Oryctolagus cuniculus: one gene and its partners. The protein of the gene in region 6 purifies or fractionates together with the protein of the main gene of each other region. This does not show direct contact. Links are inferred from orthologs where the notes say so. Each region holds a gene or a part of one and is shown on either strand. Other genes may lie near its edges. The genes, in order: RAB3GAP1, PITPNM3, PITPNM1, VCP, STK3, VAPA and RASSF1.

The links.
Region 1: the proteins of VAPA (region 6) and RAB3GAP1 purify together in Homo sapiens (affinity purification with mass spectrometry; 4 studies listed by BioGRID and IntAct, counting the BioPlex papers as one, with this or other methods). This does not show direct contact. The link is inferred for Oryctolagus cuniculus from reciprocal best matches to the Homo sapiens genes VAPA and RAB3GAP1.
Region 2: the proteins of VAPA (region 6) and PITPNM3 purify together in Homo sapiens (co-immunoprecipitation; 3 studies listed by BioGRID and IntAct, with this or other methods). This does not show direct contact. The link is inferred for Oryctolagus cuniculus from reciprocal best matches to the Homo sapiens genes VAPA and PITPNM3.
Region 3: the proteins of VAPA (region 6) and PITPNM1 purify together in Homo sapiens (co-immunoprecipitation; 4 studies listed by BioGRID and IntAct, counting the BioPlex papers as one, with this or other methods). This does not show direct contact. The link is inferred for Oryctolagus cuniculus from reciprocal best matches to the Homo sapiens genes VAPA and PITPNM1.
Region 4: the proteins of VAPA (region 6) and VCP purify together in Homo sapiens (affinity purification with mass spectrometry; 3 studies listed by BioGRID, with this or other methods). This does not show direct contact. The link is inferred for Oryctolagus cuniculus from reciprocal best matches to the Homo sapiens genes VAPA and VCP.
Region 5: the proteins of VAPA (region 6) and STK3 purify together in Homo sapiens (affinity purification with mass spectrometry; 4 studies listed by BioGRID and IntAct, counting the BioPlex papers as one, with this or other methods). This does not show direct contact. The link is inferred for Oryctolagus cuniculus from reciprocal best matches to the Homo sapiens genes VAPA and STK3.
Region 7: the proteins of VAPA (region 6) and RASSF1 purify together in Homo sapiens (co-immunoprecipitation; 3 studies listed by BioGRID and IntAct, counting the BioPlex papers as one, with this or other methods). This does not show direct contact. The link is inferred for Oryctolagus cuniculus from reciprocal best matches to the Homo sapiens genes VAPA and RASSF1.

The regions. Positions count from the first base shown.
Region 1 is NC_091434.1:108,467,426-108,471,460, forward strand, and holds part of RAB3GAP1 (rab3 GTPase-activating protein catalytic subunit), read right to left. Parts: intron 3,081-4,035; coding exon 3,026-3,080; intron 2,792-3,025; coding exon 2,420-2,791; intron 1-2,419. UniProt on the Homo sapiens protein: Catalytic subunit of the Rab3 GTPase-activating (Rab3GAP) complex composed of RAB3GAP1 and RAB3GAP2, which has GTPase-activating protein (GAP) activity towards various Rab3 subfamily members (RAB3A, RAB3B, RAB3C and RAB3D), RAB5A and RAB43, and guanine nucleotide exchange factor (GEF) activity towards RAB18.
Region 2 is NC_091448.1:50,078,256-50,082,290, reverse strand, and holds part of PITPNM3 (membrane-associated phosphatidylinositol transfer protein 3), read right to left. Parts: intron 1,909-4,035; coding exon 1,719-1,908; intron 1,307-1,718; coding exon 1,184-1,306; intron 858-1,183; coding exon 673-857; intron 1-672. UniProt on the Homo sapiens protein: Catalyzes the transfer of phosphatidylinositol and phosphatidylcholine between membranes (in vitro). Binds calcium ions.
Region 3 is NC_091432.1:4,587,621-4,591,655, reverse strand, and holds part of PITPNM1 (membrane-associated phosphatidylinositol transfer protein 1), read right to left. Parts: coding exon 3,924-4,035; intron 3,849-3,923; coding exon 3,646-3,848; intron 3,431-3,645; coding exon 3,260-3,430; intron 2,857-3,259; coding exon 2,692-2,856; intron 2,584-2,691; coding exon 2,435-2,583; intron 2,338-2,434; coding exon 2,227-2,337; intron 2,005-2,226; coding exon 1,888-2,004; intron 1,804-1,887; coding exon 1,655-1,803; intron 1,582-1,654; coding exon 1,432-1,581; intron 1,351-1,431; coding exon 1,167-1,350; intron 1,042-1,166; coding exon 913-1,041; intron 445-912; coding exon 181-444; 3' UTR 1-180. UniProt on the Homo sapiens protein: Catalyzes the transfer of phosphatidylinositol (PI) between membranes. Binds PI, phosphatidylcholine (PC) and phosphatidic acid (PA) with the binding affinity order of PI > PA > PC. Regulates RHOA activity, and plays a role in cytoskeleton remodeling.
Region 4 is NC_091432.1:198,024,947-198,028,981, reverse strand, and holds part of VCP (transitional endoplasmic reticulum ATPase), read left to right. Parts: intron 1-1,866; coding exon 1,867-1,969; intron 1,970-3,207; coding exon 3,208-3,341; intron 3,342-3,418; coding exon 3,419-3,554; intron 3,555-3,898; coding exon 3,899-4,011; intron 4,012-4,035. UniProt on the Homo sapiens protein: Necessary for the fragmentation of Golgi stacks during mitosis and for their reassembly after mitosis. Involved in the formation of the transitional endoplasmic reticulum (tER).
Region 5 is NC_091437.1:124,029,329-124,032,545, reverse strand, and holds the end of STK3 (serine/threonine-protein kinase 3), read left to right. Parts: intron 1-1,094; coding exon 1,095-1,253; 3' UTR 1,254-2,455; downstream 2,456-3,217. UniProt on the Homo sapiens protein: Stress-activated, pro-apoptotic kinase which, following caspase-cleavage, enters the nucleus and induces chromatin condensation followed by internucleosomal DNA fragmentation.
Region 6 is NC_091441.1:67,121,973-67,126,007, reverse strand, and holds the end of VAPA (vesicle-associated membrane protein-associated protein A), read right to left. Parts: intron 1,467-4,035; coding exon 1,308-1,466; 3' UTR 699-1,307; downstream 1-698. UniProt on the Homo sapiens protein: Endoplasmic reticulum (ER)-anchored protein that mediates the formation of contact sites between the ER and endosomes via interaction with FFAT motif-containing proteins such as STARD3 or WDR44.
Region 7 is NC_091441.1:98,976,520-98,981,185, reverse strand, and holds the start of RASSF1 (ras association domain-containing protein 1), read right to left. Parts: upstream 2,904-4,666; 5' UTR 2,755-2,903; coding exon 2,505-2,754; intron 1,559-2,504; exon of another isoform or gene 1,317-1,558; intron 986-1,316; coding exon 879-985; intron 822-878; exon of another isoform or gene 301-821; coding exon of another isoform or gene 154-300; intron 1-153. Other genes in the region: ZMYND10 (zinc finger MYND domain-containing protein 10), read right to left, coding at 3,091-3,377, 3,466-3,829, 3,916-4,041, 4,273-4,445. UniProt on the Homo sapiens protein: Potential tumor suppressor. Required for death receptor-dependent apoptosis. Mediates activation of STK3/MST2 and STK4/MST1 during Fas-induced apoptosis by preventing their dephosphorylation.

The DNA of each region.
Region 1 (4,035 bases), on a different chromosome or scaffold from region 6:
CTAAAAGAATAAATGAAAGGCAATTCATAGGACAAGATGCTCAATAAATAAAAGATGCTTAGATTTATCAAAAATCAGGAAAATAAAATCTAAAACACTTATTTTTCACCATTATAGACAAAAATTTCTATGATTCATAACATCAATTATTTAAAAGTAACATCAATTATTTAAAAATTCAAAGTAAAATACTACAGTTGTGAAGGTCTTGTTGTCTAGCTGGTTACAAATTCCCCAAGTCTAGAATGATAGTTGACATATATTAGGTACTTGTGAAAAGAAAGTGAGGAAGGAAAATTGGAGAGAGAATTGTTATTCCCTTAACATGCAGCACAGATGAAAGTTTAAAACAGATGCAGCTTTTCTGAAAAGGAAGTTAGTAACTCATATGTAAGTTTACCCAGCAATTCCTTTTCTCATTATCCTCCTTAAAGCAGCACTCATACAGGAACACACAAGGTACAAATAAAACTGGCATAGAACAAATACTGTGATCAAAAGGGGAATGGTTAAATGAACTACAAAACTCTTCTAAGCCATGAAATATTACACAGCAATGAAAAATTAAGGAGTCTACAATGTAGTAACATGGAAAGATCTTCATGACATATTTGTTAAACAAAATGTTACACACCAGTGCACACATTTAAAAACAAAAACAGGCTGGCATCATGGAGCAGCGGGGTTAAGACAAAGTCATGCTTCAGTTCTTGTACCAGCTACTCTGATCCAGTCTCCTGCCAATGTGCCTGGGAAGGCAACAGAGGAAGGCCACCCACATGGCAGACCCAGCTTGGGGGTTCCAGGCTCCTGGCTTCCGCTTGGCCCAGCCCTGACCATTGCATCCATTTGGGGAGTGAAGCAGCAAATGAAAGATCTGTTTCTTTTTTTCCCTTTCTCTGTCATTCTGCCTTTGAATAAATCAATCTTAAACACACAAAAACCAAAAATAAGTCCATAAAATATCTATCAGTATGAGGGTATTTCAAAAAGTTCATCGAAACACGGAATTAAAAAATGTTTGACAAAAAAATATTTTAAAATCCACGATTTTTTCATAATACATGTTTCTTTTTTTTTTTTTTTCCATTTTAAAGATTCATTTATTTATTTGAAAGCCAGAGTTGGGACCAGCGCTATGGTGCAGCAGGTTAAAGCCCTGGCCTGAAGCATCGGCATTCCATATGGGTGCTGGTTCTAGTCCTGGCTGTTCCTCTTCCGATCCAGCTCTCTGCTATGGCCTGAGAAAGCAGAAGATGGCCCAAGTCCTTGGGCCCCTGCACCCACATGGGAGACCTGGAAGAAGCTCCTGGCTCCTGGCTTCGAATCCGCACAGCTCTGGGTGTTGTGGCCATCTGGGGAGTGAACCAGCGGATGGAAGATCTCTCTCTGTGTCTCTACCTCTCTCTGTAACTCTTTCAAATAAATAAAATGAATCTTAAAAAAAATAAATAAATAAAGCCAGAGTTATAGGAAGAGAGGCAGAGACAGACAGAAAGAGAGGAGAGAGATCTTCCATCCACTAGCTCACTCCCCAAACAGCCACAACAACTGCGGCTGCAGCAGGCCAAAGCCAGGATTCAGGAGCTTTTTCTGGGTCTCCCATGTGGGTGCAGGAGCCCAAGGACTTGGGCTATCTTCTGCTGCTTTCCCAGGCCATAGAAGAGAGCTGGATTGGAAGATGAGCAGCCAGAACTCAAACTGGTGTCCACATGGGATGCTGGTGCTGCAGATAATGGTTTAACCCAGGACACCACAGCACCAGCCCCATTTCTTGACCTTTGATAGGATGACTCATATGCATGAAATTCAAGGCTTTTTGGACCAAGATGAATTTTTGATTTTTTCATGAACTTTTTGATATGTGTACCAATGCCTAGAAACGGGTGTAAGAAATATAATCCAAACCAAAAACAGAGGTTACTTTTAGGGATTAGAGATGAGTTACTGGGTACTGGCTTTCATCTTTTTCTAGATTGAATTTTTCACAACATAGCTATTTATTATTTACACGAAAACAAATCAACAAAAACTCTTCTTCCTTAGGGTTGGCAATGTTGCTGTTCTATGTCCTAACAGTATAAAATTACTCCAAAGTATATTTTTGAAGCGATGAATAATTTTTGTTTTTTCCTTTCCATATTTTTGGATTTTGTCTTCAAACACTTGTGTATCTACCACTCAATTTAAGAAATAGATACCCTATGCATGATGAGATACTATCTACTTATAAACTTTAAAACATTTCTCAAATTCAAACATGGCATGACCTAAAAAATAAAATCTATTTAGATTTCAAATCTTAAATCTTTAAACATCAACTTTTTATAAGGAATTTCCCTTACCCTAAGATATCAGTTCCTACCAGAATGAAATTACATACATAAAAAAATAAACTGAGAAAGCCAGTGCATCCTACCTGGGTAACTGGAATGTAGAGAGGTTCTCCGTTATGCAGCAGTGTAAGTTTCCCATGCTGATGGAGACGTCCTTCTGGCTTTAAATTTGCCATCTCCTTAGGGGCTCCTTTCTTGCCACTGTCTTGTCCATTTCCCTTAAGTTCTTCAGTATCACTTAGGCACTCAAAAAATTCTTCTTCACTGTCACTCCAGGAATCCCAAGACTTTCCCATCTCTCCCTTCTCCTTATCTGCATCATTGAGATTATCTGGCCCCAGCTGGTCTCCAGTTTTTCTAGCATCCACTGACCATGTATTAGTGACGTTATCTGAAGTGCTTGTCTTTTTCCCCTCATCACGGGCCTTCTTTCTTTCAATACAACAATTTAACATCTTAAGAAAACAAAAATAACACTTATAGTTGAATTAGTTACACAAAAATAAAAATCTATTCACCACCTGAATAATTCATTCTCTGACCCTCACCCCTGATGTGAATCATCAGTGATGATAAGCAACAGACAGCAGCACAATGAGAATAGCCTATAATGCATTATTCTATTAAGTATTTGAATAAGCTCTGATGAAGTCAAGACCACATTTATATAGTCTGTGGGACATCTTTACCTGTAGTTTCTGATGTAGTAAACAACATCTTAGATCTGGGGGTCCACTTGCTAATCTATCAAATAAAATAATGAGAAAAGAAAGTTAAGTTTTAGTAAAAATGCTTCAGATATACTTATTTTTTATAGTACTAAAATTTTTAGCTCTATTGATAAGCAATCAAAATCAGATTTCTATAGGTAGGGTAACTAAGATCCAGATGGGGAGTACATTTTAATGAAAAAACCAACATTCATTTTATCCTCCTAGTCTAAAAATCATCAACAGCAAATTTAACATTATTTCAAAACATAGTGACAAACTAGTGATAGTTTTCAGGTTAATACAAATTTAAAATGAGAAAAAAAATCTCCAGATTTATTCCTGGAAATAGCCAGCATACAATATTTCATATCATACAAAGTCAATCAGTCTATATATTCAGTTGTCAATTATCATAGTGGATTCTTACTATAAAAACCAAGAATTCTACCTCTGTTTTGCCAAACAGACCCCATACTGTCTCTAGTCTTTAGCTGCTAGGTTCCCAGCAAGCTGGGCAATTCTCCTTCACATTGTATACACTTCTGGGTTAGTAACAGATTCCAGAGCAAACTGGTTAAAGCTAGGAGTGAATCCAGCTACACAAAGACTGGCAAATGAAAGACCATAAACATTTCTGGATCAATCACCATTTTATATTTTCATATCATGATTCTCCACAGCAATAGACATGCTAACTAAAATCTTTCATTTGATTAAGTAAAACACCAAAATATAACTGTACCAAAATTATGGGTAATGTTTAATATCTGAAATTATAGTGAAGTCTAAAGATGTTTTCCCTCAAAACAAAATACATGTTATGGCTTAGAAAATACATAATACATATTGCTTAGAAAACTACAAAGATTAAAATAAAAATACATATAATTGGGAAATATGTTATCATTTGACTGTATTTTCTCCAAACATTTTTCTATACGTGTGTGTGTGTGTGTGTGTGTGTGTGTGTATATATATATGGGCAT
Region 2 (4,035 bases), on a different chromosome or scaffold from region 6:
TTTAATTATATGGAGAAAAGCTCACACTATAAAAGGTTTGGGATTTAAGTAGAACGATATGCCAAATAGATATGGAGAGAAAGCAGCCTAAAGCGCTGGCAGTGGTTCTCCCCGCGTGGTGGGACGACCTGTTTTCCAAATGCTGCCCGGACTGCATGGACTCAACATACAGGCGAGAGAGACGGGGTTGGGGGGCGACTGAAGCAGAGAGAGTTCTTCTGAGCTGCATCTCCGCTCAGTCCTCCTTTGTACCCTGCATGAACTGAGCCATTTACCCCACGCTGGCACACCAGCTGGGGCCCACCTCGCCTACCCACCACACTGGGGACCAGAGACCAGAAGGCAGGCCCTGGGTCCCCCACAACAGGCCACACGGCCTTCCCACACCTTCCCAGGAATGAGAAGCACACGGCTGGGGAGGCTCCCAGCCTACCCCGTCTCTGCTAGTTCACCCAATTCCCTCCGTGAAGCAGTCTGGGCAGAAGGGGAAGTGGGGGCTCAGAGAGGTGGAGCGGCTGCCCCCAGACTTGCCGCCCGCCAGCCAGCCAGAGCAGGGACAGGGAAGCAGGCCCCCAGGTCTCCCTGCAGGGCAGGCCTCGCAGGGAAGGGCCTCGCGGATGACTGCACCCACGTGCTCTCCGCCCTGGACGCTTTGGTGGAAAGGCCGGTCACCTGGAGAGGAAGGCGTGGTGCTGGGTGATGGCCTCGCAGTCGTAGGTGGAGGAGTCGCTCTGCTTCCGCGGCAGCGGCCTCTTGGGCTCAGCGGCCTCCGCCCCGCTGGACAGGTCAATGTTGCTCTTGCTGCGCCGCTTGCTGCCGGCCAGGCTGCAGTCCTCGTCCACCGCCCCCGGGGCGTCCTGTGGGACCGGGCAGAGACGGGGGCCCGGCCGTTACCAAGACCCCGGGCCCAGCCCCGGCCCAGGCCAGCATGAGCCCCTTCCGCGCCAAAAGGCACGCCGAAGCCCCCGCGCGGGCTGCCTCCTACAGCCCCAAAGACAGGAGGCCGGTGGGCCAGCCTCCTGCTGGCCTCATTCTCCAGCTATACTCCCGGAGGAGTCCCTGTGTGCGTCCCGGTGCCAACATGAAGGACAGCACCAATTCCCGCCCCCCACCCCGGGTGGGGCAAGGGGCGGGCTCCCAGGGACACAGACCCCGCCCCGCCCCGCCCCGCCCCTGCCCGCACCTGCGTGCTGCTGATGCTCCCCTTGCGGCTGCTGCTGCCGGGACTGTCCCCCGAGGGCCCCGCGCTGTAGCAGATGGCGTCGAAGGCCAGGAGGCCGCCCACACAGTCCCCGATGAGACACACCTGGAAGAGGCAGAGCTGGGGCTGCAGGCCTGCCCCCCTCCCCCGCCAACCCCCACCACACCCAGCAGGAGCAGAGGGTACCCATCCAGCCAGAGACCAGGGAAGGAGCTGTCCTGGGAGGCACCACGTGGGGTGCTCCTCCAGGGGGTCAAGGGTTAACCTCGGCCTGGGGGGCCAGCCTAAGCTGGCCATCCGGCTCAAGCCAGGGACCAGCGTGGGCTCCAAATGAACACTCCAATCGTCGTCCTCAGTTTTCCTATCTGTAAAATGAGGGCAAACCCCAAGAACTTGAAAGCCTCCTGCGATCTCAGATGCTCTGGTTCCAGAATGGTCTGTGTGGGTCCCCCCGGGGCAGGGCCCAGCCTCTGTCCCAGCGCAGGCTGGGCCGGGTCGGGCAGCCAGGCTGTCCTACCTGCCCACTGAAGCCAACGCCGTCAGCGGACCTGAGGAACTCCGTGTACACCTGGTTGGCTCGCTCGATGACAGTGGCGACAGCATCCTGGTACTGCGGGGAGGAGATGGCCAACAGGGGCAGGGCGGCCAGAGGGACATGGTCCTGGCTGTGGCTGAGGCAGCCCTCGTCGTGGCTGTAGGGGTTCAGGCTGCAGACAGGGGCCCAGGGTAAGCCCAGCTGGGACCAGGCCAGAGGGCAGGGTTGGGGCTGAGGACCGGGTAGAAGACAGCACCTGCTGGCCAGGCATGGGGTCCTCGGCCCCAGGGACCCTAGAGGAATCCCCGGGCAGGAGCTGTGTGTGTCAGAGCCCAGGCGGCAGTGGGGGCAGGGACCCGAGCCTGTACTGAGTCCCCGGTGTCCATTCCTGGGGTCTCCTGCAAGAACAATGTCCTCTTGCCCTCTTCTGCGTGCCCCCAAGGACACCCCAACTGTGGGGGATGGAAGCAACTGAGGAGCCAGTTGGCAGCGGTCAGGGCAGGGGCCTGTCCTCACGGCAGACTTCCTGGAGGAGGTGGGCTTGGCTGCCAGGCATGGGGATCCCGAGGTGATCACAGCTCAGAGGCTGTGCACCCACGCCGTGTTCACTGTGTGGGGCTCCCCCAGCTCTGGGGGACATCTGTGACTACGGAGAGGGCTAGGAGGGCGGGTCCACCCACGTACTCACCCCTGGGGCTCCTCTGGACTTTGCAGAGGCGCTCCTCACTCCCTGTCTTCCCACCAGGAAGTCCCTCCCTCCCGCCCTCCCCGGGCAGCTCGGATCCACGAGACCCCCCCCCCCCCCGCCAGGAGCCCGCCCTGCCTTCTCCACCTGTCTTGGTTCTGTCCCCTGGGGCTTCTGTCCCAGAGGCACTGCAGAGCGAGGTTCCCCCCAACCCAGGCCCAGAGCCTGCCCATCCCCCATAGTCCAAGGGTGACGTAGGGCCCAGGGTCGGGGACCCTCCAGATCTGGGGCACGCAGCAGAATCCCCACGGAGTGCAGGGCCAGCCCCACCAACCATTCCTCATCTCAAAAGAGCTCAAATTGGAGGAAACAGCTTCAACCGGAGCCAGAGAGATTTTAATTAGCTGGGAACACACTCCTTCCCAGCAGTGACGGTGGCTGATTGATGGGCCTGGCCGGGGGCTGCCTGGGGGTCGGGTAAGCTCCTGGTCACCGTTCCCTCAAGTGGCCTGGCCATCTGTCTTCCCAGAGACAGGTGTGACCCAGCTCTGGAGGTCAGAAGGCATGGGGGCCGGGGTAGGGGGCGGTTGGCGAGAGAGGAGGGTCCTGAGACTGATTTTGAAGCAGCACAGTTAACTCCGGGATCGTCTGGGCTCCGCCATCCGCTCAGCGGATGCCCGCTGCAGAGCGGGCGGCCAAGATGCAGATTCCAGGGCTCCTCCCCCTCCTGACTGGGCCTCTGCAGGGGCCGGGGGGCGCTGCCGGACATCCCCACCAGGGATCTGGGACGCGAGCTACTGACCTAAGCCCCTTCCCGCCTTCTAGCTCTGAGCGCTGCCCCGTGGGGGTCCCAGGGACACAGATCACCCACCCGGTGCGGGCAGAGAGGGGACTGCGCCTCAGTGCCGCATCTGACGGACAGCACCGGCTCCCGCTCTCCGGGGGCCCTGGGAGCTGCCCACATAGCCCAGCTCTCTCAAATGGGAGCTCTGGCAGAGTCGTGCTGGGGGAGGGGCCGGGGGGCAAGGACCTTCCTCCCTTCCCCAACTCACAGGGCTGCCAGCTTCCAGCTTCCCGGCCCAGCGAGTGGGGCCCTTGTGACACAGGTCGGCGATGAGGAGCCCGTGTGTCCGGCTGGCTCCACACACCTGGCACTGGGGGAGCTGGGGGTGGGACCTAGGCCCCAGAGGAGCCCCTGCTCTCTTGGTTTGTCCCCCAGGCATCGAGCGGTCACCAGGGGCTGCCCTTGACATCCTGCCCTCCTCCTCACTGACAGGGAGATGCCAGCGAGCAGCGCCGGAGGCCGCTGATGCCAGTCCCAGGCGGGGTGTCCCCACACGCTCTGCTTTCCATGCACACCAGCGTGCAGGGGCCTCACCCCAGCTCCAGAGCTGCTCCTCACTGTTATCACCCCCATTTTACAGATGAGGAAACTGAGGCAAGGAGAGGTGAAACAGTTTTCCCCGGGTCTCTAATCCAGGCCGGTAAGAGGCCACACATTTCACCCTGTTATACACTCAGAAGCCGCCTCCTCCAGGGAGGCTTCCCTGGCCCTCTCCCTGTGGCACAGGGTCCTCTTGGGCTATAAGCCTGTGACCCGCTTTCCCCTCTGGC
Region 3 (4,035 bases), on a different chromosome or scaffold from region 6:
GGTCTACACACACGGGAGAAGCCGCTGGGCCCTCACCCACTCCCTCCTCGCTCCCCCGGGGCTGGGTCCCCCACAAAAGGGAAGTAACACCAAGGGGCAGACACAGGTGCAGGGGCGCGCCCCCTCCCCCCCCCCCCCCCCCGCAGCCCTGGTGTGCTTTGGCGAAGGGCGGGGTCCTGTTCACTCTTCACTGTCCAGCTTGAGGCTGACGCTCCGGGCTTTGCTGCGGGCCAGGGCGGTGGGCGGGGTCCCCGGGCCCTCGCGCTCCGCCTGGCTGGGGCCCCTGGAGCGCAGCAGCTGGCTCTGCTTCCGGAGGAAGTCCACGGGCGCAGCCACGCCGTAGCTGCTCTTGGCCAAGGCTGCCCGCGGCGGTCCTGGGGCCGCGTGGGCGTGGGCGCCCGCCTCCAGCTGGCCCAGGTGGGCCACGTAGCCGTCCGACAGGAACTGTGGGCAGAGCGGGCAGGGGTGAGGTCCACGCAGGCTCCTGCAGCGGGGTGGGGTCTCTGGCAGGCCCAGCACAGCCCACCCTGAGGCCGTTGGGTACGCAGGGAGCCCAGGGTGTCCTGGCTTCACTACCACGTCTGCCTCCCTCGGGCCTCAGTCTTCCCGTCTGGGAATGGGGTCTTTCTGCCGGTATCTGGCAGGCCCTTGCTTTGTGCCCGTGGCTGGGATTTTACAGGTTGCTGAGGTCAAGGCCACCGTCAGGCCGTGAGAGTGGGGGAGTGTGCCTGGCGTGCCCTGGCCTGGGTCACCGCCCAGGTCAGCCTGGCTGGGCCAGGATGGCCGCGAGCCCGTCCTAGGAGGAACCCAGGGTCCCCGAGGCCCTGCACGGGCGCAGTGGTCCTCACGGCCTCGGGTGCAGGCTGCTCGGCCCTGGCAGGGCCTGGCTCCCCTCACTCCCTGGGCCCTCACCTGACACTGTGCCTGCAGCTTCCGCACCGCGCGTCCCACGATGTAGGTCTGGCTTGGGGACAGGCCCAGCGCCGCGTACACAGCCACATCTTTGGGAGACCCATAGCCGGCCACGATATTCAGTTCCACCTGTGGTGGGGAGGCCGGGCAGGTGGAGACAGAAACAGGGTCCCAGCCGGTCAGGGCTGGGTGCCCAGCACCGCGGAGCCCCCTGCCGTGCCCCAGGGTCTGCCCCCCCCCCCCCCCCCGCACACCTCCTGCACCAGGCTCTGCAGGAACATGGCCTTCTGGCGCAGCGGGTCATGGCTGAGGCCGTCGCAGAAGGAGACGACGCCGTGGGGGAAGTTGTGCTGGGACAGCCAGGCCACCACGCGGTGCTTCTGCATGTCCGGCCGGCCCGTCACGTATAGGATCAGGTAGCCGGCGTCCTGCCAGTGCCTGCGGAGCACGGTTTGGGTCAGCGCCGCCGGCCACACGGGCGCCGCGGGCCTCGGCGGCGAGCAGGGTGGCGGCTCCTACCTGACCACATCCACGGCGCCGGCGCGCACCTTGGGGTCGCTGCCCATGATGGAGACGCTGGCCGTGAAGGAGCCGTCGATGCTGAAGACCACGGCCTCTGTGCCACGGGCCACGACCGTCAGGCAGCACTCGGCGTACGTGTGGTCGCCCCTGTAGTCCATGGGGCCGTGAGTGGCCCGGGGCGTGGCCGGCCCCAGCCTGTCCCCAGCCCTCCGGAGCTCACCTGACCACCATGCGCACGGGGTAGACGCCGATGCCCAGCGCACGCTCGGGGGCCACGGGGAAGGTGAGGCGGCCCGAGCTGTTGGTGACCTCGGTGCCGAAGTGGATCCACTTGCCCGACAGCGGCTGCGTCATGATGTAGACGTCCACCTGCGGGGGCGGGCGGGGAGGTCCATAGGCAGCCGGCGCTGCGCCAGGGCAGACAGAGGGGGAGCAGGGCCTCGGGCTCCTGACCTTCTCCCCGGTGAGCGTGACCACGTCCAAGGGCCCGTACATGAAGCGGCCGCTGAGCACCTGGGGGCGGCCCTCGCACACCACCGTGTCGCTTGCGCGGTGGTTGGAAGTGACGTTCTGGAGGCAGGAGACAGGGTGAGTGCGTGCGGCCCGGACAGAAGGGGGAGGCGGCGCTGGAGGGGCTCCCCGGCGCCCACCCCGCGGAACGGGCCTGGGGGAGACGTTTGGGGACCCGGCCCCTGGGATCATGGGTGCCTGTGTGTGGACAGCGGTTCTGGTTCCAGACCCGCAGCTGCGGGGCGCGGCTCCTGGGGGCGGGCGCAGGGGCAGGACACGCACCCGGATCTTGACCTGCGTGCGTTTGCGCTGCCACTTCTCCCGGGGGAAGGCCGGGCTGTAGACCGACGGCTCCTCGCACTCCGCCAGCTGCGGCCGCTCCTTCTCAATTACCTGTGGGGCACACGGGGCGAGGCCGTGTGACGGGGGCGGGCCGGAGCTGATGGGCGCTGCGCCGCCCTGGGCGCCGGGGACCCCTCCGCAGGCCCACCTGGCGCAGGATGAAGGCCACCACGTCGGCCGACTCCCAGTAGCTGGCGTGGAAGAGGTGGGGCAGGGTGACGGTGGGGAAGGCGGTGAGCGCCTCGGGGCAGTACAGCGAGTAGTCGATGCGCTTGGTCCCCCACCAGCGCTCCAGGACTGCACACGGGGCCGTCAGTCAGGGTCTGCCCGCCTGTGCAGGACTGCTGCACGCGGGGCTGGGCGGTGGGAGTGAGCCCGCTCCCCCCAGGCCGGCACCCGTCTTACTCTTAACCACCTCCGTGGTGGTGCTGGGGGCCGCTGGCTGGGCGGGGGGCTCAGCGCCTAACTCGCTGCCCTTCCAGAAGCTTCCGCCGGCCGAGGTGGGCGTCGAGGGCACCAGCGCGTCCAGCTCCTCCAGGAAGAGGCCCGAGTGTGCCTGCAGAGTGTCGGCTGGCGGGGCGCCGCGAGCTCAGCAGCGGGCCCTGCACCCCTGCCCGCCTCCCTCCACCCCCACGGGTCTCAGCTGAGTGGAAGTGGGGGGGCGCTGTCTCCACCTTGGCTCACCCCAGGAGGCAGCACCCCACACGCACACCTGTCCCCACACAGCCCCACTGGTCTCGGGGGCCGGGGGACAGACCAGGGGGCCCACAGGCAAGTGCACCTGGAGCCCCAGACACAGCGACCACCCGCTCACGGCCGCCCCGATGCCCGCGTGGCAGTCTGGCTGAGCCCCCACGGCTGCCCCGGGGCCTGGACACAGCTCAGGGGCTCCGAGGGATCCAGAGGGCACCCACACTGCGGGAACTAGCACCCGCCTCCTTCCCCGTCCCCTCTGCCTTGCCTGGGGGCATACCCAGCAGCAGGGACGAGCCGTCTCCCAGGGGAAACTTTTGGTAACGGGGCACAGCCAGTGGGGCGATGGCCTGGAACTTGGGGGCCAGCAGAGGCTCCAGGCGGGAGGCGCAGGGGTCAGCGGCGTGGAAGAGGTTGTAGATCTGCTCGCAGGCCGGCCGCATCTGGGCCACTGGGCACCCAGGAGATGGGGTGGGAGGAGTCAGTCTGGGGGCGGCGGCCAGTGACAGGCTCCTCCCGCTGCTCCGGCCAAGAAGCGATGGGAGCCTTCGGCTCAGGATGACACACTCCTGGTGCCCGCTGACCCCCATCTCGGGGAGCATCTCGTGGGGGGCATCTGGGAGGGGACAGGCAAGGGGAGCCGGGGAGAGGGGCCCCCAGGCTCACCCTCCAAGGCGGGCATCACGGTCTTGCGCAGAGCCAGCACCAGGCCCAGTGGGGAGCCGAAGAGAAAGAAGCCGGAGACCTTGAAGTCAAGGCGGGCAGCGCCGGTGGGGCCGTCGGGCGCCTCGGGGCCGGCAGCAGCTGGGCAGGAGGCTGTGCTTGCCCGGCGGGGCTCCCCGGAGGCGACAGCAGGGGCTGCCTGCAGGCTGCGGGGCAGAGGGGCGCTCAGGGCGGCCGCCTCCCGGGGCCTGCGGCCGGGGCAGGGGCGAGGCCACTCTCACCTGTTCTGAGCGCCCTCGGGCTCAGGACGGGCCATGCCGCTGGGCGTGCGCTGGGCAGGCAGGGTGGAGGGCTCCGGGCTGGCCCGACCCAGCCCCTCCACCCCATCGGCCA
Region 4 (4,035 bases), on a different chromosome or scaffold from region 6:
GCACCGATCTGAAGCCAGGAGCCAGGAGCTTCCTCCGTGTCTCCCACGTGGGTGCAGGGGCCTAAGGAATTGGGGCATCTTCTACTGCTATCCCAGGCCATAGCAGAGAGCTGGATCGGAAGTGGAGCAGCTGGGATTATAACCAGTGGCCATATGGGATGCCGGCACTTCAGGCCAGGGCTTTAGCCCACTGTGCCACAGCGCCGGCCCCTAAATATTTATTTTAATTTTATTTGAAAGGCAGAAAGATTTTACATTTCTGATTAACTCCCCAAATGCATCATCTAAGGTTGGGCCAGGCTAAAGCCAGAAACCTAGAACTCAATCTAGGTCTCCCACGAGAGTGTCAGCCACCCAAGTAGTTGAGCCTCCAAGTACTGCTGCCTCCAAGGGTGCACATTAGCAGGTTGCTGGAAGTGGAGCTGGGATTCCAGCCCATGCACTTTGAAATGGGATATAGGCATCCCAAGGGGTGTCTTAATTGCTGTACCAAAGGCTTATTGTTCTTTTTTTTTTTTTTGAAGTTTATTATTTATGTATTTGAAAGTCAGAATTGCAGAGAGAGATCTTCATCCGCTGGTTCACTCCCTAAATGGCTGCAGTGGGCAGGGCTGGGCAAGGATGAAGCCAGATCTAGGAGCTTTATCCAGGTCTCCCACATGGGTGCAAGGGTCCAAACTGCTTGGGCGATCTTCTGTTGCCTTCCCAGGTGTGTCAGTAGGGAGCTGGATCAGAAGTAGAGCAGCTGGGACTTGAACCAGTACCCATATGCAGACAATGGCTTAACCCACTGCACCATAGCGCCAGCCCCCAAGGCTTTTTTTTTTTTTTTTTTTTTTTTTTTTTTTTTTTGTACAAATTTCATAAGTACAACTGTACAACTTTAGGGATATAGTTATTCTTCCCACCATCCACCATACCCACCTTCCCACCCCTCCTCCTCCTCCTCCTCCTCCTCCTCGCTCTCCCCTTGCCAGTCCCATTCTCCGTTAAGATTGATTTTCAATTAACTTTGTACACAGAATATTTCAACAATTTGCACACACACATACAAACTGAGAACTAGTTTTACAGTTAACTCTGATATACAACTCACTGAGGACAGAGGTCCTGCATGGGAAGTTAGTGCACAGTGACTCTTGTTGTTGATTTAACTATTAACAGTGCTTATGTATGATGTCATTGACTACCCGAGGCTCTTGACATGAGCTACCTAGGCTATGGAAGCCTTTTGAGTTCACAAACTTTGTCAATATTTGGACAAGGCCACAAGCAAAGTGAAAGTTCTCCCTTTAGAGTAGAGTACATCCTTCTTTGATGGCCACTTCTTTCTGCTGGGGTCTCAGTAACAGAGATCCTTCATGTAGAACGTTTTTTGCCACAATGTCTTACCTTTCTATGAAAGGCTCATTCTTAATGGTGTCAGAATTGAATTCTTTTTTTTTTTTTTTTAAGATTTATTTATTTATTTGAAAGTCAGAATTACACAGAGAGAGAGAGGTCTTCCATCCGATGGTTCACTCCCCAATTAGCTGCAACGGCCAGAGCTGTGCCAATCGGAAGCCAGGAGCTTCCTCCGGGTCTCCCATGCAGGTGCAGGGGCCCAACGACTTGGGCCGTTTTCCACTGCTATCCCAGGCCACAGCAGAGAGCTGGATCAGAAGTGGATCAGCTGGGACTTGAACCGGCACCCATATGGGATGCTGGCACTGCAGGCCAGGGCGTTAACCTGCTGCGCCACAGTGCCGGCTCCCAGAATTGAATTCTAATTCTCACCCTTTCTAGAGTCCTAGTCAAGCCAGTTTGAGGTGAGTGGCGTTGAGAAGTCAGGAGTCTAATTCTAATTGCTCTTATGTTGGTCCCCAGCCTCCTCGGGGAATCCTGCTCTATGGACCTCCTGGAACAGGGAAGACCCTGATTGCCCGAGCTGTGGCAAATGAAACTGGGGCCTTCTTCTTCCTGATCAATGGTAAGAGATTTGATTTGTCTTGTGTCTGTCTAGAACTAGCCCTGGCCTGAACAGCTCATTGATAACATCCATTTGCAGCCATGCTCTCATGCACACTTTAGCATCTTTTGCTGGGGTACATTATAGACAGGTCAGCAACAAGTGGGAGATTTTTTTTTTTTTTTTTTTTTTGACAGGCAGAGTGGACAGTGAGAGAGAGAGACAGAGAGAAAGGTCTTCCTTTTGCCGCTGGTTCACCCTCCAATGGCCGCCGCGGCCGGCACGCTGTGGCTGGCGCACTGCACTGATCCGATGGCAGGAGCCAGGTGCTTCTGGTCTCCCATGGGGTGCAGGGCCCAAGCACTTGGGCCATCCTCCACTGCACTCCCTGGCCACAGCAGAGAGCTGGCCTGGAAGAGGGGCAACCGGGACAGAATCCGGCGCCCCGACTGGGACTAGAACCCGGTGTGCCAGCGCCGCAGGCGGAGGATTAGCCTAGTGAGCCGTGGCGCCGGCCAAGTGGGAGATATTTTATACTGATACTTTTTGTCTTTTCCCCTCAACCTAGAAAAAGTTGTGTACATTTTTGTAAGGAATATTTATGTATTTAAAAGAGTTACAGAGAGAGGGAGAGACAGAGATCTTCCATCCGCTGGTTTACTCCCCAAATGACCACAAGGGCCCAGTCTGAGCCAGGCTGAAGCCAGGAGTCAGGAACTTCATCTGGGTCTCCTATGTGGGTGGCATTTAGGCCATCTTCCACTGCTTTTCTAGGCCTTTAGCAGGGAGCTAGATTGGCAGTAGAGCTGCTGAGACGTGAACTGGTTCCCATATGGGATGCTTGTGTGGCATGGTGATAGCTTTACCTGCTACTCCACAATGCCAGCCCCAAGATATTTAAGGGGGAGCAAGTTGGAATTAAAAAAAAAAATAAAATAAAGGTATGATGCCTATTTGAGAGGCTTAGGGAAGATGGGCCAACACCACCTGTCTCTTAGAGAATGTTAAGCTGTAGAGATCCAGCTTGTGTGATGTCTCCTGCTCTTGCCAGAGACCTTTACACTTTGAAAAAAATGTGCTTGGTTTCTCTACCCCAGCTTTGTGGCTGTCCTGGGTGATAGCTGGCATTGGTGAGAAGGTAGACGGAAGTTAGTATCTTCTCATCCAGGACCTATCCTAGGGCAGATAAGGTAACTGATTTATTTTGGGACTGGGAAAGGTTGTAATTTTATCATTGTCTTCATTTTGTTTTCTTTCAGGTCCTGAGATCATGAGCAAGTTGGCTGGTGAGTCTGAGAGCAATCTTCGTAAAGCCTTTGAGGAAGCGGAGAAGAATGCTCCTGCCATCATCTTCATTGATGAACTGGATGCCATTGCTCCCAAAAGAGAGAAAGTAGGAGTTTACCCGAGGGAATGGTGGGAGGTTGAAAGGTCCTAACATTGCTTCTGACCAGACATTTGTCCTGCCAGACTCACGGGGAGGTGGAGCGGCGTATTGTATCACAATTGTTGACCCTTATGGATGGACTAAAGCAGAGGGCACACGTGATAGTTATGGCAGCAACCAACAGACCCAACAGCATTGACCCGGCACTGCGACGGTTTGGTAAGGACTCCAGCTTCCTTCACCCTTTCCTTGCTCATAGAGAGATTATAGATCTATTGAGTTTAATCTCTATCCTTCATCTGAGTCACCTGATTTGATTATGAGGATTCCTTGAAGTTTTTTTGCAGTGGTAGGGCACAAGGGTCCTTGTATCCTGTATCCTGTCTAGAGTGACCAGCCATCCTGATTGGCTTGAGACTGAGGGGTTTCCAGAGACATAGGACTTTCAGTGCTAATGCCAGTACAGTTCTGAGTTAACTGAGATGATCAGTCACTTTAGGCTTCTTCCTTTTTCCCTCTGGTCCAGAAATGAGCCCTGTCTATGTTCACACACTGTCCCACAGGTCGCTTTGACAGGGAGGTAGATATTGGAATCCCTGATGCTACAGGACGCTTGGAAATTCTTCAGATCCATACCAAGAACATGAAGCTGGCAGATGATGTGGACCTGGAACAGGTGGAGTGGTGATGAGAGCTGACC
Region 5 (3,217 bases), on a different chromosome or scaffold from region 6:
GTGCCCAAAACAGCACAGGTGGCCCGGCAGAACTTGGCGCAGGAGCCCCCTCTCTGTAATCTGCAGCCTACACGGTGGGGTCTCATACAGGGCCCGCGTCCATCCTTAACTGTTTATCCTTGTGTTACCCTCAGCTCATTTCTAAGTTCTTAACGCCACAGTACGTATTGATCTGAATAGCATTCTATAAATCATCATAGTCGCAAAGTTTGTGTCTTTTTTAAACCACTTGCCTGCTACCTCTGCTTTAATATTCAATTTGAAAGGAAACAGGGTTTTAGATTTTTTTTAATGTTAAGAAGATAAAAGCACGTTCAGTGACATATTTCAGGACATCTCATAAGCCCTTAGACAACATCCCTAAAATGTGTTTCTCAGGAGATAATCCATATCTTGCTGTTTCAACATAGAAATCGATACAGTAAAGCTTGGCAAAATGCCATAAATCCTATTATGCCTCAGAATAGATGTTATCGCTCTTACACACGTGACGTGAGACCTGTCTTCTGCCGTTGTCCATACCCCCAGCGTGGCCGCGCTCTGCTTCGTGTCCACACGCGCCAGGCCCACGGCAGTACTTGGGGAGCGCTGTTCGTACCAGGCTGGCACACCGGGGACGCTCATTTAAAACCATGTTTTATCAGGCTCGCCATGGGATTTCCCGACTGTGCTTAAAATGTGCACTTACGGTCACATGGAGGATCATGGCGCTGCCCAGGGCCTCATGGGACATTCCTGGGGTGACACTGCCCGTGGCCAGGCCTCTGCCGCTCCGAGCTGGGCAGGCCACCCAACAACCTGTTTGTTGGCGGGTTTGTCTTTGTGCCTTTTTTTTTTTTTTCAACAGATACATTTTTCTCCTTTGCTCTGTCCCAAAAGCAGAGGTTTTGATCATTTTGTTGCAAATTACTTGAGATTCTTACAAGATCTGGCTTCTGGGTTCTTTAGGGAATGGATTCCTGTTTGAGCTGTTGAACCATACTTCAAAACCGTTGTAAAGAATTTGCTGAAATATTTATGCTAAAACTCTTTAGTCTTGGACATACAGTAGGTGGTTTTACTACAGTAACATCTTTGTTTTCTTCTCTGTCTAGTTAAAAAACCTGAGTTTAGAGGAGCTGCAGATGCGGTTGAAGGCGCTGGACCCCATGATGGAGCGGGAGATCGAGGAGCTCCGACAGCGCTACACCGTGAAGAGGCAGCCGATCCTGGACGCCATGGACGCCAAGAAGAGGAGGCAGCAGAACTTCTGAGCCGACCTTTTCCTGTTTCCATGGCTATTCTGGAGACCAAGAAACCACTAAGAATTGAAGGAACATTGTGATTTTTTTTTGTCTTCTTAATCCCTTAGATTTACGCTCTAGGCCAAAGTCCAAAACTGATGATGGTACATACCCGGGTAACTAAAGGCAGACTCTCCAGTTGTTTCCACTGTGTTCTCATCTTTAAGTGACCAGAAGTGTGTTCTCCCCGCCCCCCCGCCCACTGCATACCAGCAGCAAAACCATGTTCTAGAACAAAGGCTATGTGTAGAGACCTTGAAAATCCAAAGCTATTGTTCCATTGTACAGCACTGAAGGGCTTTATGTCACAGTACTTTTTATTCCTATCTAGTAGCCTATTTATTGTATCTCACTAGGTAAACTTATTTATTTATGCTATTTCACATTGTCTTATTTTTTAAGGACAAGATCAGGATAGAGTAGGAGCAGGTGGGGACATTTTAATAGATAATGATGCACAACAAAATGATACTTCCAGCAGGGAGCTCTGGGCTACCTTCCTTGATTTCCAAGATAGTTTTTCAATACCAACAAAGCAATAATAGTAATAGTGCCCAAATGGATAGAGCATTTTTTATATTGAAGCAATAATTCCATTTTTACCTTTTGAGATTTTGTTTAATTGTTTTGATTTTTGATGTTTGCTACAAACAGAACTATATATATTTAGGTCAAACAGAGCTATAATGTTTAAAACCAAAGAAATCAGTGGAACCCTTGCACAAAAAAGCATGGGAAATATTTTAAAGGAAATTAAACCTTTTGACAAATGTACTTTGTTAGCGTTGTTTTGTGTTTCATGTGTAAGTCTGATAGCTAAACTGAATCAAACTGTAATAGCTCATCAAATTTATTTCCATGGAAATGCGTTCTATTGACACAGGACTTTTTGTTGATTTCATTTATTTCCTAGGAATTGGTAAACATCTTGTGCCTGATAATAAAATAGCAAAAACATTTGTACTGGACTGTGCAAGCCTTGGAGACTAGGGAAATAAAAAAGATTAAAACCGTTACAAAGAAACTCACTTCCAAGGGAAATGCGCACTGGTGAGACTGAGCTGGGACCACGTTTCCTAAGCTGCCTGTAGCTGTGCTGACAGTGTTCACTCTGGTGTGTTCGGTTACTACGTGGAAATCATGAAGACAAATACACTTCACCCAGCACTTTGCATCTCGTTATCTTTATTATCACTAACGTGGGTTTTTATTAACTAACATGGCGACTCCTCACTCAGCCCATCCCACGTGGGCGGTGCTCTGCTGCTGTCATCCACACTCGGGGACCTTGTGGTCATCACAGCCAGGGATGGGAGTTGGGGCGAGTCTCAGGCCAGCTCCAGCCTGCAGGAAAGCCTTGCCGGTCCTCAGCAACCTGGTATTCAGAACGAGTCATGAGGCCTCCCTCACTTTGCAAGGAGCTGGGAAGTGCGGCGTGCAGCCCTGCAGAGGGAGGCGGGGCGGACAGGCAGGTGAGCTCAGTGATGCCTGCCACAGGAGGTTCATCCTCCCTGGGAAGCTCCCCTTCCTTTTGAAGATGCATGAGTGCCCCAGGTAATACCAATGCAGTTAGATACAAATGATGAGATTGGAAAAATCGTGATGAATATTGAAAAAAAGGTTATTAAAAATGAAGACTGAACTTAGAATATATGTTTCAGCTCTCCCTTGATTGAGGTCTTTTGGGATCGTCAGATGAGCTGATCAACTCAAACACTCTACCCTTTTTTTTCCTAATAGATTTTCTTTTCACTCACCTGTCCAATACCTGCCTGATTTGGTTGAATCGAATGACTGATTTGCTGTCATCCAAGCAAAACCATCTCTGACACACACGCAGGTGGCCTGTGAAGATGATGCCTCTTCAGTTTGCTAAATTGGAAAATACATGCAAATTAATCCATGAGGCCTGTTAGCCACTCTGACTGCTTTGC
Region 6 (4,035 bases):
GTCGTGTGCCCTTTTACAGAACCAACACATGTTTTCAATCATCAAAATTCACTTGAATTAGACTGTACACAAATGATAAGTTAATGTTATTTTCTCTGGCTCCAAAATTTCCTATCCTAGGACAAAATAAATGACATCAGACTAAGTGCAGGAAAGTATCAGACCCTCTAATGTGTATTTATACTGAAAGTATGTTTCACACGGTTAAGATTTGTCAAGGATAAAGCCATTTGTCACAAAGGAAATTCCCAAGGCTTGCTCAGTAATTGCCAAAATGACATGTCAAATTGGGCGGCAGAAAAAACACCTAGTTTTCACTATAATTGTGAGATATTATAAAGAATTACTAGACGAGGAGAATAAGTCTTCCTTGAGAAGAACATGATAAGGATGGAGTAAAGGTAAGGCAGTCCATGGCATACGAGAACCTCACTACAAGTACAGCACTTTTATTCTCCTGGCATTGCTTATCTCATTTTTTTACAAACTAATGATTATGATCTCCCAAAATATCAAACATAGCTTGAAACATCATCAACTGCTTTCCTTAAGAGAATGAGAACTTTTAATTACAAATACTGTAACAACCAAAAAACTTTCAATGCAAGAGCAAAATTAGCATTATAAATTTCAAATTACCCTACACAGTGGACACCCTGACACCCTCCCCCTCAATGACACGACAGACACAAACAGGCTATCGAGCAAGAATCTGTTAACAGTTTTATTTTTTTTTATGTTAAATACCATGGGACAGGATTGTAAGGATGAAAAAACTCAGTCAACAACTGCCTCACAAGGGATAAGAAAAATTCTGCCATGATATTAGCAAAGGTAAAGGAGAAAATTTACACTGTAAGAGGCACCATTTCCCCACAGAACACCTCTTGGCATTTCCTGAATGAGTGGGATTAGCAATCTAAATAAATCATATTTCAAGAGGTAACAGCAACAGATAAAATTTAAAGGGATTATTAAAATAACATTTACAAGACTCTGAACAATTCTTGAACTCTTATTAAAACCACAAAGAAAGAACAATTCTTTATTTATGAATTTCATAAAGGACTGAATGTGCAACTGACATCTGCTAGTGATGATCTGATAATATACAATTTGTCCAGTAGCCGAACAGTTTGTTTTTATTGTGTTTTCTAACCGTAAGAGATCATTAAAGGCAAAGCCTATTATGACGCTGTACACACAAAAAAATGGTCACCGCGGGCCATACTACCAATGAAATGGTAGGTAAACAAATCTTTTCTGGTCAAGAGAAAAAAAAGAAATAGCACTCGGCATGCTTCACTCTACAAGATGAATTTCCCTAGAAAGAATCCAATGAAAATGGCTGCAATTACAACAAGAAGTGAAGGGAGAGGACTGGTGACGTTATCTCTGAAGGATGCAGTTGAGGTGGAGCCAGGTTTATCCGAATGTGCTACCTTTCTGAGCCTTAATCCTTCATCCTAGGAAAAAAGAAAACACAGATTTTAAAAGCAAATATGCACAGAAATGAGAGCTAAAAATCTTTTCAAAGACCTATGGCTTTGGGGATGGAACACGGATCTGAGTCGAAGGAAGCTCCTGGCTTCAGCCTAGCCCTACCCTGGCCACTGCAGCCATCTGGGAAGTGAACGGGCAGATGGAAGATCTGTCTCTCCCTCTCTGTAGTTCTTTCAGATAAATAAATAAATAAATCTTTTTTTTTTTTTTTTTTTTTTTTTTTTTTTTTTTTGACAGGCAGAGTGGACAGTGAGAGAGAGAGACAGAGAGAAAGGTCTTCCTTTGCCGTTGGTTCACCCTCCAATGGCCGCCGCGGCCGGCGCGCTGCAGCAGGCGCACCGCGCTGATCCGATGGCAGGAGCCAGGAGCCAGGTGCTTTTCCTGGTCTCCCATGGGGTGCAGGGCCCAAGCACCTGGGCCATCCTCCACTGCACTCCCTGGCCACAGCAGAGAGCTGGCCTGGAAGAGGGGCAACCGGGACAGAATCCGGCGCCCCGACCGGGACTAGAACCCGGTGAGCCGGCGCCGCTAGGCGGAGGATTAGCCTAGTGAGCCGCGGCACCGGCCCAGATAAATAAATCTTAAAAAAAAAAAAAAAGTAGTAGTACTGAGATGTATCTGTGAATGAAATATCAAAAGGGCCTGAACCCAATTCTATAAGCCAGTGGTCTTCAATGTTCTTTTGGTTTTTAAATAGCAGGATTTTCTTTCAAATAAAATCTCATGTAGAGTAGCACCATGGAAAGCAGGGATGCAGAATCTTTTCTCTACCACGGATCATTTGGATATTTCTACCATCATTTGAAGACCATACAAAATTATCAACTTTGCTATAGATTTACTGAATTTCAAGTCCCACCTGCAGTTGCCTTGGCAAGGCCACAGCACAAGATTTTACGGGTTGGATGCTCCCCACCCCTAATATAGAGCAGAGACCAGGAATAAAGTCTCAGTCCTCTACCTCCCCATTCTGTCTTCCTAGTTCCAGTCCTGTGCCACCCTAGTCTCCACTTCTCCCCTCCAAGCCAAGAGACAATCGGCAGCTTTTTATATAAACCTACTGAGCACCCTAAGGAACACATATTTCATAGAAGAACAAAATGTGGAAGTCATTATAGGCAAAAAACAAAGAATAGCATCCTTAAAGTCCAAGGAGTGTGAGTGGGAAACAGAGTGCTCCCACTATCCATACAAGTGCTAAGGCTTGACAGCCCTCAAGGAGGTACTATGGAGTATGAAGAGTCACAGAAACTCGAATCACAAATCCTTTAGAGTTCACACATCAACTCTAGATACAGCGCCTTTGAGTACAGTTCCTATACACATTTAACAGAAGGAATCATCAAATGTAGATGAACTCCCAGAACTTAGCTTAAATAACCTTTGTATCATCTACTTTGATATGAAAACTTTCAAGGCCTAAAAAGCAATGTAAAGGTCTTCAGATCTTGAACCAAGTAATCACTTGTTAGAGACAAATGATTCACAGACCCCATTCACATCAGTCCTCCTTCACCAGCCCATTCCCTTATTCACTCAAATACATGAAATGACTACTACATGCACGAGCTGTGAACGCAGACAATAAAACAGTCTGTCCCCAAGGAAATCATTGTCCAATAAAGGGAGAAAGATCTCCAACAAATAAGAGCAGAAATGTAGTAAGCTGTGTAGGACAAATACAATGCCATCTTACTTGTTGTGGAGGGAGAAAACTAGACTGAAAGGGTGAAAACGGAGTGCCTTTGTGAATGCACGTGTATGTGTTCTGTGGTTAGGAACAAGATTTCAGGGCCGTACAGTCAGAAGGAGGAGCTCCTGCTAATGTGAGAGTGAGAAGACAGGCTCTGTCAAGTAATTCAGCCCAACACTGCCCAACACAAATATAAGCCTCAAGTATGAGTTGCATACATCATTTTACATGTTTTAACTGCATATTGTAAAAAATAAAAAATTAGGAGACCAGCGCTGTGGCGTAGTAGGCTGAGCCTCTGACTTGGCGCCAGCATTCCATATGGCGCTGGTTTGTGTCCCAGCTGCTCCTCTTCCAATCCAGGTCTCTGCCATGCCCTGGGAAGACAGTGGAGGATGCCCCAAGTGCTTGGGCTCCTGTGCCTACATGGGAGACCAAATCAGAGTGAGCTCCTGGCTTTGGATCGTCTCAGCTCCAGCCACTGTGGCCATTTGTGGAGTGCACTGGCAGATAAAGACCCTTTTCTCTGTCTCTCAAATAATACCTCTACCCTCAAATTTTAAAAAAAGTAAAAAATATTTTATCAATACTTTCAAAATTTTTAAATATGTAACTATATTTTTAAAAAGCGTTTCTCTTCCTGGTTCTAAGTTTTCAACATCAGGGTGTATTTTACATTCACAGTACATCTCTGGCTGACATTCCCACGTGAGGGTGGCTACAGTGGAGGACAGGGAAGTCCTAGACAGTTCTGCACAGCTGGGGCACAGAATGTCAAGAAGGGAAGAAGCAAAAGGGGCCAAAACAATGCTGAGGCCAGCCACAGCTTCCAGGGTGAC
Region 7 (4,666 bases), about 32 Mb from region 6:
GAGGCGCCGGAACCCACTTCTGACCCTAAGCCGAGAGCCCGACACACGGTGCCGCGCCACGCCGACGGGAAGCCGGGGTTGCCCACCCGCTCCCGCGGCGGCGGGTCGCCGGGGAGGGCGGCGTCCCAGGGGGTCAGCACCCGCGGCCCCCACCTGGTCCCGGCGCGGCCTGCGCGCCAGCGAGGTGCGCGCCGTGAAGTACTGCTCGAGCTCCGAGTCCGAGTCCTCTTGGCTGCAGTAGCCACTGCTTGTCGTGCTGCTCCAGGTCATCTCGAACGACGGGGTCTCCGCCTCGCCCATGGCCGCGCCAGCCCGGTGCCCCCGTCCCGCGCGTCCGTCCCCTCCAACCTCCGCCCGCGGCGCGTGCGTGCGTGTACGCGTGGGTCGGTGTGCGCTTGCGCCGTCCCCCGCGCCAGCTGCAACCGTTAAGACTGAAACGTAGACAGCTGGGCCCCAGCTCTTGTCTCATTGGGGGAGCAACGTGGAGGGGCGGCAACCGCTCGGGCGTCTCCGCCTAGAATGACCTCACCGCCCAGGCAGCTCCACTCAGCCCGGCCTCGGAGGCCCCACCTCCCACGGGAGCGCGTCCGCGTGTGTGCGCATGTGCACCAACGTCGCCTCGGGCCCGGAAGCGGGTGTGGGATGGTGTGCGGAGTGCGCGTGCGCTGAGCCTGGCGCGCCTCGGCGGCCGTGGGATGACTGCCCGCGGGGCCGCGCCGAGACCGGACCCCCGGGCCCCCCTCCAGGCCCACGCGCAGTTAGCCACTCTCTGGTGCCGGGCACTCGGCCATTAGAACGCTCGCGCTGGCCCTGGGGCTTCCTTGCCCGTCTGTGCTTCCCGCCATCCCGCCCCTTGCTCCCCTCGACCCCGCGCTCACCACGTTGGTGTCCCGCTCCAGCGCGGGTTCCCAGCCCAGGTCCCGGGGCCCGCAGCAGTCCAGGCACACGAGCGCGCGGCAGCGGTAGTGGCATGTGAACTTGCAGTCTGCGGGAGAGGGCCGGCGGTGAGGCTCCCGCCGTGGCTCCGGTACTGCAGAGGAGCCCGGGGCTGCGGGCCGTGGCCCGCCAGGCTCTGTGTACCCGGCCTCGCTACAGCCTCTAGGGTGGATCCCGTGCGTCTGAAAAGCTCCGGGCGGTTAGGGATGCAGGCCTGCTCAACGGCTGGGTCTGTAACGTCTAGCGCGGAGTCCCTCCTCCCACCACGCTCGCACTTCGAAGGAAAAACCTTTAACCCACGTCCCGTCTAGTACCAGCTGTCTCCTCGGACCGCAACACCCGTCCACACTAGCGTCTGGCCTTCCCCTCCCTTCTCTTACCCCTCCGGCCAGTCTTCCACTTCCCTGCAGCTCCCCTGCCGGTCTACGGTCGCCTGCCCCAGATCCAAGGTTCAGTCAGCACCAACCTCCCCCTGTGAGCCAGGACCTTCACAGACATCTCAGACACACACGGCCAATGTTTAACTCACTTGCCTCCTGGGTCTCCTACCTTTGCCAGGGTTCTTCAGTAAAAATAGCCACTGTTCCCCCAGCTGTTTCAGGCAAAACCCCGAATTCACCTATGGTCCCTCCCTTCTCTCTCCACACACAAACTATCCTGTTTCTCATCACGGTTGTCACTTGATTTCGCCTCCAGAGCAATGAAATATCCTCTCCCTTGTCCCCCACCCCCACCCAGAGCCTGCACTGAATTCCTGACAGGCACCTGTGCCCGGTGCGAGGCTCTCCACCTGCACACAGGCCTGAGCCCTGCCCCCACCCCCCAAGTTCCTAAATAGGCCTCAGCAGTGATTGTCAATCCAGGCTGCACATTGAATAACCTGGAGGCTTTTTAAAAGAAATTACTGATGCCTGGGCCGCTTCCAGCAGCTGAAGCAGGATCCAGCACAGGGGGTTGCAAAGCTGTAGAAGCTCCCTAGGCCATTTTAACTGGCGCACTGCCGGTGAGAAAGCAACCCCTACGTGAGGCCTGCGCAGGTGTAACGGGTTCCATGTTCACCTGGCTCACGGCCTGAAACAGGTGTTTGCTACAGACTGACTCAGGTCCCCCTGCTTGCGGCGGGGAGGGGGCTGCCCAAGTTCCCAACATTCTCCATCCCCTGTCCATTGCCTGGCACAGTTTCCTTTCACACCAGGGTTCTGGAGGGGGACCCGGCAAGTGAATCCCTGGGAAGAGACAGTCTGGGAGTGCGGGTTAGAGGACAGTAGGCACAGAGCCTTTCTCAAGAAGGGCCAGGGGCCTTAAAAGACAAGAAGCTTCCAGTCAGCATCCGTTACTCATGGACAGAGGTGGCTGCTCCCCTGTGCCCCAGCCGCGCGCGGGTGGACTGCCAAAAGGGGTAAACCAGCCCCTCTCCCCACCCCGCACTCTCTTTGGTGATGAGCAAAGGTAACGGACCCGGTCCGCGGGACCGTCCCCGCCAACCACCTCCACCGAGCCTGGACTCGCAAGCAGCTGCCCCTCGGGTACCCATTCTGCTCTCGCTGGTGTGCGGGGCCGCTACTCACGCGCGCACTGCAGGCCCTTGCGCACGACGCCCCAGATGAAGTCGCCGCAGAGGTCGCACCACGTGTGCGTGGCTGGGCCCGCGGGCTGGAAGCGGTGGCCGCGGCCGGGGACCAGCTGCCTAGCGGGGTTGCGCGCGGTGCCAGGCGCGATGCGCAGCGCATTGGCACGCTCCAGCCGGGTGCGGCCCGGGCCGGCCCGGCCGGCGGGTGCCAGCTCCCGCAGCTCAATGAGTTCAGGTTCCGCCGACATGGCCCAGTTGGGCCGGGGCTTCGGCCGGCTCTGGGCGCTAGCGATCTCGAGGCGGGCGGGGCTACAGGGCGGGCCGGGACTTCGGCGCCGCCCCTAGGATCCAGGCTGGGCGGCGGGAAAAAGTCGAGCAGAGCGGCGCAAGCGGCGCAATGGAAACCTGGGCTCGGGGACCGTACTGGCCCGCAGGCGGGGCGGGTCGGACGCTCTCACAGAGCTCCTGCCCTCTCTCTCTCTCTCTCCTCCCCTCCTTCACACCCGCTCAGGACGACAACGACGACCGCGACCGCAAAGCGTAACACCAAGACTGGCGTGTGCCTGGGGGCCAGCTTTATTGTGCTACAGGGAGAGGGTCCCCACATCCGGCTCCCTTCCAGTGTGCTGAGGCAGCGCCCTCCGCCTACCCGCGGGTGGGGCAGGAAGTGGGGGTGGGGGTGGGTCAGCAGATCTCTGCTGTGCGCACCAGCGGCAGGAGCCAGATGAGATCGTGAGGCTTGGGGTGGGTTGCCTTGGCCCGGGTGGTTGGCCGTTGTGCAGGCAGGCACAGCCCTCACTTGGCTCTGTCGCCCTGCCCAGCCAGGACACAAACCTTCCGGTGCTTCTCCCAGTGCTTGACTTGGCACTCCCTGTTGGCAGGGGGGCTGGTGAGGCTGGCAGTGTTTGTGGGGGACACAGGGGTGGGGTTCAGGGGTCCGCGGTCCCAGCAGACCTCACCTGCAGCAGTACCACTCATTCTGGCATCTCGAGCAGCGCTTCGAGGCCTCTGCGCTGCAGTAGGCACAGCGAGGTCGCTCCGGAGCCACCGCTTCGAGCACATCCAACCTGTACGTCTCAGCCCACCTGCCGGAGGGTCACGGGGCCTGGCTGGGCCTGGCAGGCGGGGGCCGGGGGCACCCCCGCTCACACCCATGCCTCTCGGCTCCCGTTGGCGCCCATCCCCGCTCAGCAGGCCTGACCTTGCTGCCTGCAGCCGCAGGTCGTGCTCCGAGGGGCTGAACACGTGTTGCAGCTGGTGCTTGGCGATGGCCTGCCACATGCCTTTGTTCTGCTGCTTCAGCCGCTCCCAGATTTCCGGGATCTAGGAAAGCGAAGCGGAGAGTAGCCGAGGAGGAGCTGGCAAAGTGGACCGTGGTCCCGAGCAGCGGGCTTCCCACGGCGGCCTACCTGTTCTAACACCAGGTCCTTCTTAGGGGTCTGGGGCTCGACCAGGGCCAAGTGGGCCAGGAAGTTCTTCAGGTCTGCCAGGTTGGGCAGCTGGTCCAGGAGGGTGTCTGTGAGAAAGGGCCGAAGCTGCAAGGGAATCCGGGGGAGGCCAGGGTGAAGCTGGTGCCGGCCAGGGGACCGGGGCCAGGGACCAGGGAAGGCCTGGGCTGGGCTGAGGGTACCTGCGGGGCCTGTGTCGCATTGGCTGTGTCACCTGAAGCTCAGGTCTGGAAGGAGGACTTGGGTGGGGGTGGGGAGGGGATGGGATGGGGAGGGGTGGCGCTGGGCTGGAGCAGCTGGTGCAGGGGAGCCCCCTACCTTGAGAAGCTGTCCCTTGGCAAAACTCGTGAGGCAGTAGCGGGCCCGGGCCTCAGAGCTCAGCAGCAGGTTGTACAGGGCGATCCACACCTGCCCATCCAGCTTGCTCAGCTTTTGCTGCTCCGAAGGGGCCACCGTATGCCAACGGCCGCCCTCAAATCGCTGCAGCTTGCCTGGGGAGAGGGGCGGGCAAAGCAGTCTCTGGGAGCGAGTCCGCTGTGCGGGCGGGGGAACTGACCGCTGCCTGGGCATGGTGGGAAAGCCTGGGCCCCCGTGCAAGGTGAGTCCTCAGTAGTGGACACATGGGCCCTGCCTGCTGCAGAGCCCAGCTCTAGGCCCACTTGGGATGAGGCATCCTGGTATCCTCTGTGAGCTAGGAGCAACGTTTGTGTGC